2 linked regions of the Macaca fascicularis genome follow. The protein of the gene in region 2 interacts with the protein of the main gene of each other region in a pairwise test. Links are inferred from orthologs where the notes say so. Each region holds a gene or a part of one and is shown on either strand. Other genes may lie near its edges.

Evidence for each region. The genes of interacting proteins can lie anywhere in the genome.
Region 1: the proteins of SGTA (region 2) and SLPI interact in binary tests that used the Homo sapiens proteins (3 or more experiments, as listed by UniProt). The two-hybrid records come from large-scale screens. The link is inferred for Macaca fascicularis from reciprocal best matches to the Homo sapiens genes SGTA and SLPI.

The regions. Positions count from the first base shown.
Region 1 is NC_088384.1:101,334,028-101,343,859, reverse strand, and holds SLPI (antileukoproteinase), read left to right. Parts: upstream 1-3,964; 5' UTR 3,965-3,985; coding exon 3,986-4,070; intron 4,071-4,792; coding exon 4,793-4,951; intron 4,952-5,371; coding exon 5,372-5,521; intron 5,522-6,099; coding exon 6,100-6,104; 3' UTR 6,105-6,280; downstream 6,281-9,832.
Region 2 is NC_088393.1:3,460,404-3,470,111, forward strand, and holds the start of SGTA (small glutamine-rich tetratricopeptide repeat-containing protein alpha), read right to left. Parts: upstream 6,198-9,708; 5' UTR 6,157-6,197; intron 1-6,156. Other genes in the region: THOP1 (thimet oligopeptidase), read left to right, coding at 8,588-8,603. UniProt on the Homo sapiens protein: Co-chaperone that binds misfolded and hydrophobic patches-containing client proteins in the cytosol. Mediates their targeting to the endoplasmic reticulum but also regulates their sorting to the proteasome when targeting fails.

The sequences.
Region 1 (9,832 bases), on a different chromosome or scaffold from region 2:
GTCTATTTTGTCAAGAAATGAGACCACGTTTTGTCAAACATTTAATGGGGCAGAGCCAGATGGGTCCAGACCCAAGGACTAAGCTATTCAGTTAAAGACTGACAGCTCCCTGTGCGCTTAATGTGTGCAGGGACACGCCGGTAATAAAAACAATATGTACTGTACTGAGAGGACCAGACATTGTGCTGAGTGCTTTCCAAATACGACTCCAGAGGCAGCAACACTCTCATTTTACAGCGGAGGTAGCTGAAGTTCAAAGAGGTTCAGTGATTTGCTTCCAACCTGTAAGTCTGACTTTGAAGTTCAGGTTCTCAAAACCATGTGGTGTCGACTCTGTGTGCGTGCTCTTTTCTGTAGCCCTAGGCCTAGTGCAATACCTGACATGCGGTAAGAAATGTTAAATAACTTTTGTGGGAATGGATTGTATAAATGAATGAAGGAATCTGTAGGATTTAGGTAGAACACAATAAAGGGTGTGTGAAATAGATTTTTATTTTTTTATTTTTTTTTTTGAGATGGAGTCTCACTCTCATAGCCCAGTACTGTGATCTGAGCTCACTGCAACTCTACCTCCCGGATTGAAGTGATTCTCCTGCTTCAGCCTCCTGAGTATTACAGGCACACACCACCATGCCCAGTTAAATTTTGTATTTTTAGTAGAGATGGGATTTCACCATGTTGGCCAGGCTATTCTCAAACTCCCAAACTCAAGTGATCCACCTGCCTCAGTTTCCCAAAGTTCTGGGATCACAGGCATGAGCCACTGCTCCCGGCTTTGAAATAGATTTAATGAGTCAATCTCAGGTTAAGATTGGGTTAGCAGCGGAAGTGTCCTCCACCAAACAGGTTCTGGGGATCAGCATGTGAGCAACCTGTTTTAGAAAAGCTCAATCTTGTGTGTGTCATTAATCCGCTATGCAGCTTTGAGCCTGGATCTTCTAAGGGATTCAGTCTCTTTTATGCAAGCTGCGGGTTTGGTCTAGGAGTTAGCATTTTCTGTAAAGGACCAGACAATAAGTATTTTAGGCTTGGCAGTAAATATTTTAGGTCCCTGTTGCCATTGTAGTGGAAAAATAGCCGTAGACAGTACATAAATTAATGGATGTATGGCTATGTGCCAATAAAACTTTATAAAAACAGGTGACTAGGTGGAAATTTGGTCCAAGGACTGTAGTTTGCTGATCTAGAAAACGCTTGAAGTCCTCTTTAGTCTTCACATTCTATGATGTAAAGATTTTTGTTTGTTTGTTTGTTTGTTTTTTGTTTTGTTTTTTTGAGACGGAGTCTCGCTCTGTCGCCCAGGCTGGAGTGCAGTGGCGCGATCTCAGCTCACTGCAAGCTCCGCCTCCTGGGTTTACGCCATTCTCCTGCCTCAGCCTCCTGAGTAGCTGGGACTACAGGCGCCCGCCACCGCGCCCGGCTAATTTTTTGTATTTTTAGTAGAGACGGGGTTTCACCGTGGTCTCGATCTCCTGACCTTGTGATCCGCCCGCCTCGGCCTCCCAAAGTGCTGGGATTACAGGCGTGAGCCACCGCGCCCGGCCTGATGTAAAGATTTAGAACCAATTATGTCAAAGATAATAATGATTATATATTATTATCCTCCTCTGACACCCATGGAAGACATTGCTAATTGGGCACAGGGTACTTTTCTCATGAGAAAGGAGTTGGCTCTAATCGGTCAATCACACATTAAGCAATCAGCCAATTGGAGATTAAAAAAAAAAAACAACAAAAAAAACCTTAAGCTGTAGCATTCTCCTTTTAATTAATTATTTAATTTTTTTTTGAGATGGAGTCCCATTCTGTTGCCCAGGCTAGAGTACAATGGCGCAATCTTGGCTCACTGCAACCTCTACTTCCAGGGTTCAAGTGATTCTCCTGCCTCAGCCTCCTGAGTAGCTGGGGTTACAGGTGCGTTTCACCCTTTCACCATGCCTGGCTAATTTTTGTATTTTTAGTGGAGATAGGGTTTCACCATGTTGGCCAGTCTGCTCTCGAACTCCTGACCTCAAGTGATCTGCCCACCTTGATTTCCCAAAGTGCTAGGATTACAGGCATAAGCCACCATGCCCAGCCCCTTTTCATTCTTTAAGAAACAAATATTTAGAAAACTCCAGACAATTTCTTGAGTGTGGCACTGAGGAAAATAGGAACAAACAGAGAGAGAGAGAACAGAAACTATGTGAGAGAAATAAAATTGTCCCCTGGGTAGTGCAGGTGAGAACAAAAATCTTGACTTGAGAGTGTCATTACCCACTGGCGGAAATCATATCCTCCATTTCTCTCTTACCTGCCCTACTAAATACCAACTAGGACTGAATGTACCTGGTTCATAGTAGTTACCTCATGCATATTAATTTTCGTCCTTTTCTTTTTCCACCAAAATTTGATTGATGATTGATTGATTATGTCCAAGTCTTCTGATCCACCAAAATTTAAACCATGGAGTGACTTTCATATAAACAGATCTGCTGCCAGTTGACTGTCTGGTTGTGGAATACTTAAATACTTCATGTGGGGCTGTCACTACTTGATAATGAGTGAGTCTTTCATGTCTGTGAAAAGTTCCACAAACATTCACTTTAGGAATGAATGGGAGAATTCTAAGCATGAAGATAGTGAGTCAAGAGCTTAGAGTTTGCAGCCAGATGAGGTTTGGTTGAATTTTATTTTATTTTATTTTATTTTTTTAAGACAGAGTATAGCTCTGTTCCCTAAGCTGGAATGCAGTGGCATAATCATGGTTCACTGCAGCCTCAAACTCCTGGGCTAAAGCCATACTCCTGGCTCAGCCTCCCAAGTAGCTGGGACTGCAGGCATACATCATCATGCCTGGCTAATTTTTAAAATTTTTTTGTAGAGATAGGGTCTCAATATCTGGCCAGGGCTGGTCTCAAACTCCTAGTCTCAAGGAATCCACACACCTCAGCCTCATGAGCAGCTGAGACTGTATGTATGTGACCCTACACTCAGCTATGGGCTGAATTTTAGAGATAATGATGACTCTCTTTATAATTAGAAGCAATCTATGCAGATTGGGTAGCATATAGAACGAGTTTAATTTTTTGCTGTCATGTGAGATCTGTAAGGGTTTTTGGGGAATTTTAGGAAGCAGTCCTCTAAGATCTCAAATTATCTCATAGCTAAATGTTGATTACAGTGACTGATGAGCTGCTTTCCCCCTTTATCTCAGATTCATTTCAGTTCTCTTTAGTGGGAAGGGATACAATTCATTTATTCTTTTCAGAGTCCCTTCATGCCCTTAATTTCATAACCCTCTGAGAAGGGCTGACTTGTTAGTATCATTTCATTTCACAGCTGAGAAAACTGAGCTCTGAAGAGATTTGCTGAGAGCAGAGCTCTTCTTCAGCTTTCATTTGTTGAGTGAATGCTTTTCCTGTGACAGGCACTGGGGATAAACGGTGTAAATATTTCAGGGAACTAAGTATCGGTTGGTTGAATGAGCTGAACTTTTGAGAAAGAAACTGCATTGAGCATTCAGCAGAGTTTCACAATGCCTTAGAGTCCAATAATGTGAAAATCAGAATTCGTAATGTGAGAATAGGATGTAATGCACGAAGTCTCAGCTGGGGGTCTGCATCTGGTTTCAGTTCCAGGTCCAGGTAGCACCTTTGCAATTGACCACTTCTTCCCCTCTCCACCTGTAAGGCTAATGGCCTCGGGTCTCGTGATGTTTAGGGCTCAGATGGACACTGAGATGGCCTCTTTAATCAGCCAACCTCTCAGGCCAACCTCTTCCCTTTCTTTTCTGGTAATTACTGTATTGACCTCAAAGCCTCACCTGGCATAGGAAAGATAAACCGTCTCCTTGGTGCCAGGATTTCTGGTCTCTGGCTAAGCTTCCTGCTTATGCAATAGTAGCTGGGAGAGGCCAAAAGAATTCTGGTTGGGCCACACCCACTGGTGAAAGAATAAATAGTGAGGTTTGGCATTGGCCATCAGAGTCACTCCTGCCTTCACCATGAAGTCCAGTGGCCTCTTCCCCTTCATGATGCTTCTTGCCCTGGGAACCCTGGCACTTTGGGCTGTGGAAGGCTCTGGAAAGTGTAAGTTGGGAGTCATTCTGGTCTAATCTGGGCTGCAGGGTCAGAGGTGCGGTCTCCTGGTGATGTGGGTGTGTCCCCTTCTGTAGGCTCTGATCTCTCAGCTTAGTTTCAGGAGACCTCCCTGAGAGTGGAATACATGTCTGGCTGAGCTCCAAGGTTTCTGTGAGGGTTTCTGAGCTTCTGGAAATGCTTTTTCTATGCAACCATGCTGTCGGCCCAGATCCCACTCTCTCTCTCTCTCTGTCTCTCTCTCTCTTATCCTCTGCCTTCTTCACCTGTCTGTGACTCTCAAATCATTAGTTTCTGACTCTGCTTCTTCTTTGTGTCTTCGCTTCTGCTATTTTGTCTCTGTGTTTCTGCCTTGGGCTTTAGCTCTCAACTTCTCTCACACTGGTTCTATTTATCTTTGTTTATCTGTCTCCATCTCCATCACTCCCAGCCTTCCTCTCTGCCTTTGTGTAGCCCTGTTTTGCTCTGGGGTGGGAGGTCTTGACTAGAAGCCTGCTGCCCTTTTCTTGGGTCTGAAACATCCCCTGTCCATTTGTCCAATTTAATCAAGCCCATCAATCCACCCGGAGATCAGGCAGGCATGACCCTTTGGGCTTTGTGGATAGCTCCTGAGGTAAGGGTCTCTCCCCCTCAAAAGTGGTGCTTTGTTCAGCAGGCATGATGACTTCTCAGTGCCCAGCCTACTCCTGACCTCTTGACTTTCTCTTCAAAAGCCTTCAAAGCCGGAGTCTGTCCTCCTAAGAAATCTGCCCAGTGCCTTAGATATGAGAAACCTCAGTGCCAGAGTGACTGGCAGTGTCTAGGGAAGAAGAGATGTTGTCCTGACATTTGTGGCATCAAATGCCTGGATCCTGTTGACACCCCAAGCCCAAGTAAGCAGATCGGGGAACTGGGTAGAGAGGAGTGAGCCTGAGGACACAGCATTAGGGGGATGGCACTGGGTGATGGGTCCTGCCAGGCCTCCTTGTCAATCAGTCAATGAGTCACATGCCCTAAGCAGGAAGGTAGCCAGCAGGTGGTGAAGCAGCGGGCATTTAGATAGTCAGGTAGTTGGAAGCCTCCCACCTAGTCAGCACTGGACGACTGGCCCCCTGCATCAACGGGGGCCTGATGTTCTAGGACAGCCAGGTGCTATGTTTGGGGGGTGACTTACGGAGAAAGTGGTGGTGATAGAGATCGGGGGGGATGATCCGACCTGCTCAGGTTGCAGCAGGGGCTCACTCTAAAAAGTGGAGATAGGAGGGGTTGTGTAAAGTACAAGGCCTCTGACTGGTAGCCTCACTCTCACCCAGCGAGGAGGAAGCCTGGGCATTGTCCACCAGCTTATGGCCAATGTATGATGCTTAAACCCCCCAATTACTGTGAGATGGATGGCCAGTGCGAGCGTGACTTGAAGTGCTGCATGGGCATATGTGGGAAATCCTGCGTTTCCCCTGTGAAAGGTAAGCAGGGGCCGAGGGCACACTGAGCTCCCTCCATCTCAGCCTCAACCCTCTGGAGGCCCAGGCATATGGGCTGGGGGACTCTTGACCCCTATTCCAAGCAGAGCCTCTGTCTGACTCCCTTGTCCTTCAAGAGAACTGTTCTCTAGGTCTCAGGGCCAGGATTTCCATAGGATCACCTGTGGCTTTGATTCTATTCTAGTGTCTCTGGGTGGGGGTCCTGGGCAAGTGACTTTCTGAGTCTCAGTTTCTTTATCGGTAAAATGGACATAATGAGATTGAAAGTGCTCTGCAAAGCACTATGTGCACTAAGAATTTATTATTCAGGTTGTTTCCGTCATGTTTTCTGAGGTTAAATCCCAAACGATCCGTGGAGTTTGAGGATTATCTAATTCAATGCTTTCAATTTAGAGTTTTACGGTGAAAATGAGACTTGTCTCCTGACACTAAGTCTCTCTCAACTATAGCACTATCTTGCTATTTTCTTTATCTCAGGAGGATCCTTGGGCAGAAGGAAGGATGTGAATATGATTTGGCTGATTTCTATGCTGAAGCTCTTATCTGATTTTCTCTCACAGCTTGATTCCTGTGATTTGGAGGAGGCTCTGGAGTCCTGCTCTGTGTGGTCCAGGTCCTTTCCACCCCCAGACTTGGCTCCACCACCGATATCCTCCTTTGGGGAAAGGCTTGGCACACAGCAGGATTTCAGGAAGTGCCAGTTGATCAATGAATAAATAAATGAGCCTATTTCTCTTTGTACCCTGCTTCTGTGATTCATTGGGGTTATGAGTGGGGTGGGAGGCTATGAGGGAAGATCTAGCTATGAGGCCTTCCTCCTATGGGTATATAGTGGGAGGAAGAGGCATAGGGACTGGGGGGACTTGAATTTATATCATGAGTCTATAAGTACTGGCTCTGTGATTTTGGACAAGTGATTTTTATCTCCTAAATTTCAATTCTTTTGTCTGTGAAGTGGCAATAAAAGTCAACTTCTCACAGCATTTGGAACATTGGAGGAAGCATTGTGTGTGTAATAAATAGCAATGTTACTAGGCCACAGCAAGTTCTCAAAAAATAGGGGCTACTTGTGGCCTACTGGAGTGATTTTGAGTCTCTTTAATTTCCTCTCTCTCCCACGACACTATTTCTTCTATTTTACGATGAGAACGTTACCATAATGGGTAGCATTTATGGCACACTATTGGCCATACCATGCAAGGGTGGTGGTGTCCTTGACTCCACGGAGCAGGAGTAACAGGAACTGGGACTGCTAAGAGCTAAGGAGCAGGCAAAGGGCCTTGCTCCACATTGCTCTGCTTTGTGGATTCCAGAGGAAAGAGACAACTTGATTAGATAAGATTTTAAAAAATATTGTAATTCAATCCTTCCCTGGAAAAAGTCAGCAAACTAAAAATTCTTCCTTACTACTTTCAAACAATGCTCTAAGAGCAGCAAGGGAATATATTAAATTAACAATTCAATGAAGAGGAAAAAGAGGGAGAACCATTTTATTTATTTGATGAGTGTGGCAGTCACCCTTCACGTTGGCCCCCAGTGATCTCACCTGTTGGTATTCACACCTTTGTGTAGCCCCCTCCTGCATTTTTCCACAGTTAGTTTGTGTGACTAATAAAACATTACAAAAGTGAGAGATAGTTATGTCCTCACGAAATTAGATGATAAATGTTTGCAGCTTCCATTGTGGAGGCATTCTCTCTCTCCTCAATCACTTACTCTGAGGGCATTCTTTTGGCAGGTCATGAGGAAACTCAGGCCATCTGTGCAGTGGCCCACAGGGTGAGGATCCAACACTTCTGACCAACAGCCCATGAGGAACGGAGGCCCATCCATAAACACATGAGTGAGCGTGGAGTGGGTTTTTCAGTCTTGCTCTAGTCTTTTATTTTTTCTGATAGAATCTCACTCTGTCGCCCAGGCTGGAGTGCAGTGGCATGATCACGGCTCACTGCAGCCTTGAATTCCTGGGCTCAAGTGATCATTCTACCTTCGCTTCCTGAGTAGCTAGGACTACAAGTGCACGTCACCACATCCAGCTAATTTTTAAAAAACTTTTTTTAGAGACGAGGTCTTGCCATGTTGGCCAAGTTGGTCTAGAACTCCTGGGCTCAAGCAATCCTCCTGCCTTGGCCTCCCAAAGTGTTGGGATTACAGGCATGAGCTACTGCACCTGGCCCGCTCTAGTCTTGAAAAGACTGCAGTCCCAGCAGATAGCTTGACTGTAATCTCATGAGGGCCCTGAACCACAACTACCTAGCTAAGCTAATCTAAGCGGATTCCTGACTCTCAAATTGTGAATTGATGTTAATGGTTTTAAGATGCTAAGTTTTGGGGAAAGTTGTTATACAGCAATTGATAAGCAATACAATGAATTTAGCAAAAATTTGATACTACAACCAAATATGGACAGTAAAAGAAAATTATGAGCCAATGTCATCTTCTACAAACATAAGTATGAAGATCCTAAGTAAAATGCTAAAAATTAGAATTCATCAAGGTTTTAAAAGCTTTCATAGAGTTCAATGTGAATATGAATTTTTTAAATTAAAATTAAAAATAGAAATAAATCCAGAAAAGGTAACATACCTGAAATTCTGTAGCAAAATCTACATTAAGTTAATTTTTCAGAGGCATTGTCACTGAAGTAAGACAATAAGGATCATCAGTATTTTCAACAATGTATGAAATATTTAAAACTGTGCAGCTAAATGAGATAAAGGAAAAGATTGGGAAGAAAGATACAAAATGGTCATTATTTGCAGACAGTATCATTTCCTGTATAACAATTTGAGACATTCAATAAGATTGATAAAATAAGATTTACCAAAGTTGCTGGGTATAAGGCCTACACAAAATTCTATAGCATTTCTACACATTGTTTATAACCAATCAGAAATAATAGAAGTAGACATAAATAGTCAAAGAAAGTAGCCAGAAGTAGTCAAAGAAACAAATGCTACAAAATACCTAGGAATAAGCCCCCAAATTGTGCCAAACCTTCATGGATTAAAAACAAATTTTAGAAATAAAGGTCTAAAATATGAACTCAGTAGATAAAAAAATAATGTTTATGTTTGGGAAGGCTTAATAAGGTAAAGATAATGATTTCTTTAAAATTATTTCTAAATCCAATGTGATTACAATAAAAAACCTAATACAATTTTTGAGAAGAACTTGACGAAGTGATCCTACAGTTAATGTATTATTATAAAGGTTGCAGTAGAGCCCGTAAAGTTTTTTAAAAGTACAAGAATGGAGGGTAGCTAGATTAGGTATCAAAATGTGCTGATGATATAATAATTAGGGTAGTATGATGTTGGTACAGGAATAAACAAATAGTCCAGTGGAATGGAATACCTACAAGGACATCATGAGAGTGACACTATATGAAAAAAAGACTATCTACAAGGAGACTTGTATATTTGTGGACATTTATTATAAGAAAGAGAGGAATTTTTACAGCTGGGTAGAGCAAAGCTCATACTAGTAATGACAGCAATTGGCTTTTTTTTCTTTTAAAGTTCAAACTAATAACTTTTATGGAGTTTAACAATAATCTCTAACATGGTTATTTGATTTCCGTTTATTCTTTTCAGCCACTACATTTTAAATTTCTTTTTTAAGTTTTTAATTGACAAATTATAATTGTATATGCTTATGGGGTACAATGTCTTGAAATATGCATGCGATGTAGAACGATTAAATAAAGCTAATTAACATATCCATTACCTTATGTACTTTTTTGTGCTAAAATCATTAGAAATTTACTCTTTTTGCAGTTTTTAAATAGATAACACATTGTTGTAAACTATATTCACCATACTGTGCGATAGAGCTCAAAAACTTATTCTTTTTGTCTAATTAAAACTTGAAATTTTGACCAACATCTTCTCTCCCCAACCCCAGCCTCTGGCAACCACCATTCTACTCTACTTCTATGGGTTCAACTGTTTTTCATGCAAGTGAGATCACCCACTACTTTTCTTTCTGTGCCTGACGTTTCATTTAGCGTCTCGTCCTCTGGGATGTTCATGTTGTCACAAGAGACAGGATTTCCTTCTTTTTAAAGGCTGAATAGTATTCCATTGGATATATATACCACATTTTCTTTATGCATTAATCCCTTGATGGACACTTGGGTTGATTTCACATCTTGGTAATTGTGAATAATGATGTAATGAACATGAAAGTGCAGCTATCTCTTCACCATACTGATTTCTTTTTTTTTTTAATTTATTTATTATTATTATACTTTAAGTACATATGTAACAAACCTGCACGTTATGCACCATA
Region 2 (9,708 bases):
AGGCCAAGGCGAGCGGATCACCTGAGGTCAGGAGTTTGAGACCAGCCTGGCCAACGTGGTGAAACCCAGTCTCCAAAAAATAGCCAGTTGTAGTGGCATATGCCTGTAATTCCAGCTACTTGGGAGGGTGAGATAAGAGAATTGCTTGAACCTGGGAGGCGGAGGTTGTGGTGAGACGAGATCACGCCATTGCACTCCAGCCTGGGCAAAAAGAGTGAAGCTCCAGCTCAAAAAAAAAAAAAAAAAAAAAAGGCCCGGCACAGCGCCTCACACCTGAGATCCCAGCAGCACTTTGGGAGGCCAAAGTGGGAGGATCACTTGAGCACAGGAATTCAAGAGCAGCCTGGGCAACACAGGGAGACCCCAGCTCTGCAAAACATTAAAAAATTAGCTGGGTGTGGTGGCACACATCTCTAGCCCTAGCTGCTTGAGGGGCTGAGGCAGGAGGATCGCTTGAGCCCAGGAGGTTCGTGCCGCAGTGAGCACCCCTGCACTCCAGCCTGGGAAAGACAGCAAGACCCTGCCTGAAAAAAAATAACAGTTTCTTTTCAAAGTCTGGGGTCTTTGAGACGAGGGTCCCACCCAGCCAGTTGTCTTTAGCTGAGAATGGTGCCGACACCTTTTTAGAGGTTTCATTGGAAAGGATTCTGTAACAGGCGGCCTCAGGTCAGGATCCCCATGCAAACACACCTCACTTGGTGACTTCAGATTCGGAAGAGGCAACAGCAAGCAGGAGAAACAAGACCTGAGGCAGGCGCGGTGGCTCAGGCCTATAATCCCAGCACTTTGGGAGGCTGAGACGGTCAGGAGTTCGTGACCAGACTGGCTTCTACTAAAAATACAAAAATTAGCCGGGCGTGGGGCGTGGTGGCGGGCGCCTGTAATCCCAGCTACTCGGGAGGCTGAGGCAGGAGAGTCATTTGAACCTGGGGGGTGGAGATTGTAGTGAGCTGAGATCGCGCCACTGCACTCCAGCCTGGGAGACAGAGCGAGACGTCGTCTCAAAAAAAAAAAAAAAAAAGAAACCACACCTGGCTGAGTCCCCCCTTAAACCTAGAAGGCGGGGGTCACAGCCCCCTCTTATAGAGGGGTGACAGGCCCGGACAGGTGGCACACGCAAGATCATACCAGTGACAGCTGGAACGCGGCTTAGCATTCCAGGCACGCAGGGCCTAGCACGATCCACGCTGGGGGCGGGTGTGTGGAGGGGGATGTGCGCTCCTTCTAAACCAAGAAATCTCATCTTTGGTGTACCGGTTTCCTTCTCTCTTAGACTGAGGTGTGAGGACTGGACGGGGTGGCGGGTGGCTAGGGATCCACTGAGGGTTCAGAGAGTGGAACAGTGAGCCTCACTGAGTCACACTCCTCCCTCCCGGTCCCGCCAGCGCCTCTGTACCCCAGGGCCTTTGCACGTGCTCTTTTCTCTCCTGGAACACCCTCCACGGCCCAGAGAACCTCTTGGCCTCGTGGTCTCTACCCTGCCCCCTCCCCGTTAGCCTGGGGCACAGCTGAGCAGAAGTGTCCCAGCTTAGACTCCCTGGGCCAGGGGATGCCACTGATCCCCAGGAGACTCTGTGTCCCGTGATTGTTTGCTCTACCAAGGCCCAGGAGGCTGCACCCATTGAAATTCACAAACTGTGGAGGGTTGCTTGAGCCCAGGAGTTCGAGAGCAACTTGGGCGACAAAGTGAGACCCTGTCTCTAACAAAACAACAAAAGATAAATCTACACGCTACACGGAGAGGGAGCGAGGCGGCGAACCCGAGGACCTGGGGACCTCGATTCCCACCCTCTGCCCCGCTGGAAGTTTATTCTGGTGTCTGTGTGAGCAGGGAGCAGGCTCAATTTTTTCCCAAATAATTAACGCAGGTGTCTCCCCCCTGGCACCGTGGGCATCTTGGGTGGATGATTCTGTCCTGCGCATGGCAGGCAGCTGAGCGGCACCCCTGGCTCCCCCCCATGCACGCCTGAAACACTCTCCGGCTGAGACGACCACACACGTCCCCAGACGCTGCCAAACCGCCCCCAGCTGTAAATCATGGCGGCCACTAAGTGGGAAGAAGAAAGGCTGGAAGTCAGCACGGGTCAGCTTTTTCTGGCCAGATGACTTTGCTGTGAACTTTCTGAAAACCTTCTGTTTGCAGGGTATTCTGGGTGTCAGAACTGCGGTCCGTGGTGGAGGACAGCTCACCTACGGTAAGCACGGCCCCGCCCTGCACGTGACACAGGCCGGGGGTGCTAGGACCTGTGGCTTCTCTGCCATCCCCAAGGTGGGGGACATCATCAAACGGTTCTCAAATCTGCTTCAGCAGCCGGGCTCTCCCGTCAGAAAGTTTTCTGCTCTTCGGAGGGAGGTCCAGCAGGCATGAGGACGCATGTTCCTCAACTGCCGTTTGGCACTCGCTGTCTCTGGGACAACCACAACTTGGAGGGTTTGGCTGCGGGACAGCATTCTCAGAGAAGGCCTGCTGTGTCTCCCAACAGCGACGGCTTTATGGGTGCGCAGGAGCCATGGCCGAGGCCTGGTCTCAAGGCAGAGGCCGCACAAGTGAGGGTGGGAGGAGTGCTGGCCCGTGGGGGTGGCGCCAGCTCCCGCGTAGGGGCCTTCAGTGTCCCTTTCGGCTCTGAGCCGAGGACTCCACATCCCACCTTTTCATTTTATCATTAAAATGAAAACAAAATCAAACCACGGCCCCCTCGGTCAGGGGCGGGGGCTCACGCCTGTAATCCCAGCACTTTGGGAGGCCGAGGCGAGAGAATCGCTCGAGTCCAGGTGTTCGAGACCAGTTTGGGCTATTATACAGTGTACAGTGAGACCCTACAAAAGAGACTCCACCAAAAAAAAAAAAAATTAGCCTGACGTGGCGGCACACATCAGTAGTCCCAGCTGCTTGAGAGGCTGAGGCGAGAAGATCGTTTTGAGCCCAGGAGTTGGAGGCTGCAGTGAGCTGTGACTGGGCTCTGCACTCCAGCCCGGGTGACAAAGTGAGACCCTGTCTCTAAAACCAGACAAAAAACTCACAACCACCTCTCTTCCTTATTTCCCTGCCCAGAATGGATCATTCAATGGAAAAAAACAGAATATCCTCGTAAACTGAGGCCATCTTACCTCCTTACACTCCAGTAGGAAGCGCCCGCTCTTGCCCACCGCCTTCTGTGAGCACTCTGCCCGCCTCCATCCCAAATCCACGTTGCTTCTCACCAACAGCAGGGCAGGAAAGCCAGGTGCCCTGCTCCTCACTCCCTCTCAGGACACCCGAGTTCTAGCTCAGTCCCCTGCCCACTCCCCACATCGAAGTCCACTTTCTTCTAAAATGCCACCAGGAGGTCACTGTACACATAAAAGCCCTCAAGTGCTCCCTGGAACCCCAGGAGTGTGCATAGGAGGCCCCCCCACCAGCTGGGGGTCGTCTGTGGGGCCTACACCAAACCCTGTACGTGCCACTCAAACTCAAGTGCTCACCTCTCCTGCCCAACTCTAGGAGAGAATCTAGTATTCCTGCAAACTCCATCTCTGGCCCAGCATCTCTTACAAGGCTTTCTACCTCTTGACAGACCCAGCTTCCCTTTGAACGCCAGCATCTGGCAGCGTCTAAACCCTATGGACTCAGGAAAGCCTTCGATGGTTGAAAAATTCACAGACACGTGGTCAAGTTCCTTGAAATGGGGAGGCCATTTCTCTCTGGGTTTCTGTTTCCACCTCAGTAAAAGAGAAAACGGGCCAGGTGCAGTGAGGCACGCCTGTAATCACAGAACTCTGGAGGCCAAGGTGGAGGATCGCTTGAACCCAGGAGTTTGAGACCAGCCTGGGTAACACGGTGAAACCCTATCTCTAAAACAACAAAATACTAAAATTAGCCGGGTGTGGTAGTGCACACCTGTAGTCCCAGCTACTCAGGAGGCTGAGGTGGGAGGGCCTGAGCCCGGGAGGTCGAGGCTGCAGTGAGCGGAGATTGCGCCACTACACTCCAGCCTGGGCGACAGAGCAAGACCTTATCTCAAACCACCCCTTTTATGCCTTCGGCCTGTACCGAGCACTTCCTACCAGGGCCACTGTTGGGTCTTGGCAAAAAAACAACCATAGAATTGAGTAAGACTGCCGCTCTCAAGGATCCGTCCAATCTGGGGCAGAGCTCACCCCCATTTGGAATCATTCACCCTTCTAGGAAGATTTAATTATAAACCTCAGCTCAAATCCTTGGCGCGCTTACAGCTTTCCAGGCACCCAGCTAAGTGCTGTACATGCGATAGCTTATTTTAGGGGTCAGCAGAGGTTTTTCTGAAAAGGGCCAGACTGTCTTCAGCTCGGCAGGCGCTAAGGTCCCTACGGCAACTGTTCAACTGTGTCTTCTTAGCTCGAAACCAACCACAGGTAACATGCAAACCAAGGAGTGTGGCTGTGTTCCCACAAACCTTCATTCCCAAAAACAGGCCAGAGGTGGATTTGGCCTTCTGGTTAGCTGATACCTTGCCCGGTTGAATCCTCACACACCTGAGGTGGTTACTTTTATAATCCCCATTCCACAGAAGAAAAACTGAGGCTTGGAAAGATGGGAACCACCCAAGACCACCCAGCTAGGAGGATGCAAATGAGGCGTTCTGAACCCAGGCAGCCTCACTTGAGAAGCTAAACTCCAAAGTGCCCACTTCTCGCCACACAAAATTGGGTGCACACACAAAACTTTGTATACCATTTCCCGGGCCCACACACTCCCAGCTGCCCATGCTGGGGAAGAATCACTGATCTAGGGTAGGTTTTTTTTGTTTTTTGGTTTTTTTTGACAGGGTCTCGCTCTGTCACCCAGGCTGGAGTGCAGTGGCGTGATCTTGGGTCTCTGTAACCTCTGCCTCCTGGGTTCAAGGGATTCTTCTGCCTCAGCCTCCTGAGTAGCTGGGATTACAGGCGCACGCCACCATGCCCAGCTAAGTTTTGTATTTTCAAGAGAGACGGGGTTTCACCACATTGGTCAGGCTGGTCTCGAACTCCTGACCTCAGGTGATCCACCCGTATGGTAGGGTGTGGTTTTTAAAGCGTTATTGACATTCAAAGTTGGATCGTTTTCTGGGGTGGGGCCGTCCTGGGCACTGCAGGGTGCTGAGCAGCAACCCTGGCCTCCACCGACTCCAAACCAGGGGGTCCCCTGAATCGTGAAAAGCACAAATGTCACCAAGAATCTCTGGGGCACAGAATTGTTCCTGGTTGAGAACCACACTGGTCAAGGGAGGGAAAAGGCAGAGAGAACGAATAATCAGAGACAGAAGCAAAAGTAAACGGGACAATGATCCAACCTCTGAGAGGCACATTGCACTGCAATTTTCTGCCACCTAATAACAAAAACAGCTGTTCTCAAGCCAGCTCTCTCTTATCAAGTTCCAGGCACCTGATCAAATCATTGAATGTGGGCTTATCCTCATAATGACCCTCCCAGACATCTGCTTTTACAACTCGTTTACGAAAAAGAAGGTTTGCTCAGAGAGGGAAGGCAACTCATCCAGGTTTACACAGCGGGTGGGTGGTGGTGGTGGGCTGGTTCTGAATCCCAGATTTCCCCCACCTCTAGCACGATATGCAGAAGAAGACTCTAAACATGAAATAAGACGAACGGCTGCTAATTCTTTGGAGTTCTCAGATTCCGCTGGACCCTGCGGCGGCTCTCATTCTCCCAGGCAGGGACTTCTGACAACGCCCGTTTTACAGACGGGAAAACTGAGGCTCCGAGAAGCCAAGAGGCTGGGCAAGGTCACCCAGGTAGGGACTGGCGACGCTGGGACCAGAGCCCCGACTTGAGTCCCCACAAACGGGGGTCCCCGAGTCACAGGGACGACTTTTCCAGGCAGTTAGTAAGAGCGGAACGGCAGCGAACACCCAGCGAGCGCTCAGTACATGCGGGGCGCCTTCCCCTCCAGCCGTCCTCGCCACCAGTCCGCGGACCAGCATTTCCAGGACCTGGGGCCCGGGGAAGGGAGATCAGGGCTCGAAGGGCCTGCCGATGCCGCCCGGCCTCAGTTTCCCCTCCGCTCCGCCTACTCACAGGACCCCGCGGGTCGCGCTGACCCTGGCCTCACGATCCCCAACCTCTTACGGGCTCTGGGGCCCCGTGAGCCCCGAGTCGCAGACCCCACACCCGCCAGGCTCAGCACAGTGCCCCTCACTCACCTCTCAGGCGACCGATCCCCGACCCACCGACGGTTGCGCTTGCGCACCGCGGAGCCGCCCGGCCCCGGCCCCCGGGCGCGACGCCTGCGCAGAAGAAGGGCTCCCCGGGTTGCTTCCCTTCTGCACAGGCGCGTTAATGATCGAGGTGGGCGTGGAAGGAAGTGACGCAACGTAGAGGCGGGAACCAGCTGGTCGTTAGGGCAACTGACCTCTACGACCTAATGGAGGCCGGAAGTCGGGGCTGGTTTGCCCTCTAGGGCGGGAACGAAGCGGTGCACGGTGGAACAGTGGCTGACTCCAGCCGGTCGCCGAGCTGACCACGTGGTGCTGGGCCGGCCACGTGGTGCAGCCGCGTTTGGCCACCTGGACTCCAGAGCGTCATAGCCCCGCAATGAATGGGAGTCAGTGTTGTCCGCTCGCTATCTTTGTTCATTTATTCACCCACCCATCTACTCACCCACAAATGCATTCTTTCATGCAGTCAATTTATGAGACGCTTGTGAGAATAGAAACATTAGTAGGCAGCAGGTGCCTAATATTCCATATTTATTGCAAACCAGTCATAAAAACCAGCAAAGTGTCTACTGTCATTATTTTGCATTGGGGTAGACGAACTATAAACTAATAAACTAGTACATAAGTAGATAAACAAGAAATTTCACAGCTAACACTACAAAAAAAATGAAGGTGGTGTGATTGCCACCGGGAGCTAAGTTGTATGGTATGGGTAGGAAAGATCATCCTTTAGATTTGGATTTCAAGGATAGGAAAAAGTCCAAACGGACCCCAGGCACAGGGAACAGCAAAAATGAAGGCCAATGTAAAAGCTTGGTGTGCTCAAGACATATGGAAAAAAAAATAGAGATGAGAGATGAGAAATTTCCAAGGACGACAGAAAACTGATCACCATCTGAGTTATAATTGACAGAAATGTTCTCCCAATTCATTGTTGTCCTACTCGAAATACATGCACGATTAATGGCGTGGATTATTTTAATTTCTTTTGCAGAAATAAAGAAGGTGAGACCGGGCGCGGTGGCTGACACCTGTAATCCCAGCACTTTGGGAGGCCAAGGGGCAGATCACTTGAGGTCAGAAGTTCGAGACCAGCCTGGCCAACATGCTGAAAACCTGTCTCTACTAAAAATACAAAAACTAGCCGGGCGTGGTGCGGGCATCTGTAGTCCCAGCTACTCGGGAGGTTGAGGCAGGAGAATCGCTTGAACCCGAGAGGCAGAGGTTGCAGTGAGCCGAGATCGCGCCATGGTACTCCAGCCTGGGCGACAGAGTGAGACTCCGTCCAGTCCCTCCAAAACAAAACGAAACAAAAACAAAAAACATAAAAGGAAAGGAGGTCGGTTGCTTCGTTTTTGCCAGTTTAATTGTAGTACATTGTTTTTTCTGGGTGCCATAACAGTTCAAGACAGACGGTTCCAGATGTTTTTTGTTTCAACCCACAACACTGGATGTAGGTCAGGTTACTGCACTGTTCCAAAACACCTGTTATTTGACATGAATCAGTTTACTTGCTTATGTTTCTGACAAAAAATAAACCTTGGCCGGGCGCGGTGGCTCACACCTGTAATCCCAGCACTTTGGGCGGCCGAGGCGGGCGGATCACGAGGTCAAGAGATTAAGACCATCCTGGCCAACATGGTGAAACCCTGTCTCTACTAAAAATACGAAAATTAGCCGAGCGTGGCGGCTCGCGCCTGTAGTCCCAGCTACTCGAGAGGCTGAGGCAGGAGAATTGCTTGAACCCGGGAGGCGGAGGTTGCAGTGAGCCGAGATTGCTGCCACTGCACTCCAGCCTGGGCGACAGAGCGAGACTCCGTCTCAAAAACAACCAAACACCAAAACTTCTGGTTAATGTAATTGATTCGTCTGATTCAGATGCTGGAAAGTGGGCCTGGGATACAGTTAGCGATCGATAATAACACTGGCCCAACACACAGCTATAAGAAGGGAGGCAAGCACACAATAACACGGTAGCCTGAAGCCCAGGCGAAGTTTCCGCGGAAAGAACCGCTCAGACAGAGGCTGAGAGGCGTCAGCGGCGTGCGGTTTCCAAGGAAACCGTCCTTTCTAGCCACCGCAGCGGCTCTGGAGGGGTACCGCAAGAGGCTCCGCCCACGCAACCCCGAGACCAATGACGGACTGGGAGGGTTGAGCGCATGCGCAGAGAGCTCCAGCGTCTCGGCCCGCCTCCTTTAGGTGTGGGCGGGGCTTGGGCACGCGTGCGTCCTGCCCTCCCTGTGCACGCGCCGCCCCAGCATGCCCCGGGTGCGCAGGCGGCGGGTCGCTTGGTCTTCAGGCGGCCGTGGCGGCGGTGGCGGCGGTTGGGCCGAGAGAGGCGGCCTCAGTGGCCGAGGTGGCTGGACGCGTAGCAGGTGGAAGGAGGGAGGGAGCCGCAGGCGCAGACCCACCCGCCATGAAGCCCCCCGCAGGTACCGACTACCCCGCTCGCCGGACCCGGGCTCCCCTGCACCCTCACTCCTCCCGGGGTCGCGACTTGGGCCTAAGGCTGGAGCGGAGTGGTCCCCGAGCCACCCTCGGCCGGGCTGGAGGGGCAGCGGGGGAGGTGGGCGACCCCGCTCTCTCGTTTGCAGAATGAACGAACCAGCTTTTCCAGCGCTTCATTCATTCTGCAAAGTTGATGGCGCTTCCCTTCCGGATGGGTCGGGCCCCGTGGCGAACCCTCGGGAGGCCGTGATTTGAGGACTCCGGTCCCCGTTTTCCCGGAATTCTAGAGCCAGAGACAGACATTCAACAAGTAAATAAGCAAGAGAGGATCGAAGATAGGGAGGGATCGGTGCTCTGGAGTAAATAAACACGAACAGGGCAGTCCCAGGGAGCAAATAAACACGAACGGGGCATTCCCAGAGAGAGGTTGGTCCTGGGGGGCTTTTCTGAAGAGGTGAGCCTTGACTTGCTTGATTGGGAGAAGCAGGTGTCCTGCCAGCACCGGGGAAGGAGGCGTCCCGGGAGGAGGGAACGTGTTTGGAGAGCAGAAAGTCAGTTTGGCTGGAACGTAAAGAGGGGACCTGTTTATTGTGTTATTTATTTACTTTGGGGCCCAGGCTGGAGTGCAGTGGTGCGATCACGACTCCCTGCAGCCTGGAACTCCTGGGCTCAAGCAATCCTCCTGCCTCAGCCTCCTGAGTGGCTGGGACTACAGACCTGCACCACCACGCTTGGCTAATTTTTGTAGAGATGAGGTTTCGCTGTGTTGCCCAGGCTGGTCTTGAAGTCCTGGGTTCAAGCAATCTACCTGCCTCGGCCTCCCAGAGTACTGGGATTGCAGACATGAGCCACTGTAGCCAGCCAAGACCCTTTTAATTTAAAGGCAAAGGGGTGATGTTGTGTTTTTTCTTTACTTGTTTATTTATTTTTTGAGACAGTCTCTCTCTGTCTCCCAGGCCGGGGTGTAGTGGTCGATTTCTGCCCACAGAGGCTCTCTGCAACCTCTGCCTCTGGGGTTCAAGCGATTCTCCTGCTTCAGCCTCCCAAGTAGTTGGGATTTCAGGCACGCACCACCACACCCGGCTAATT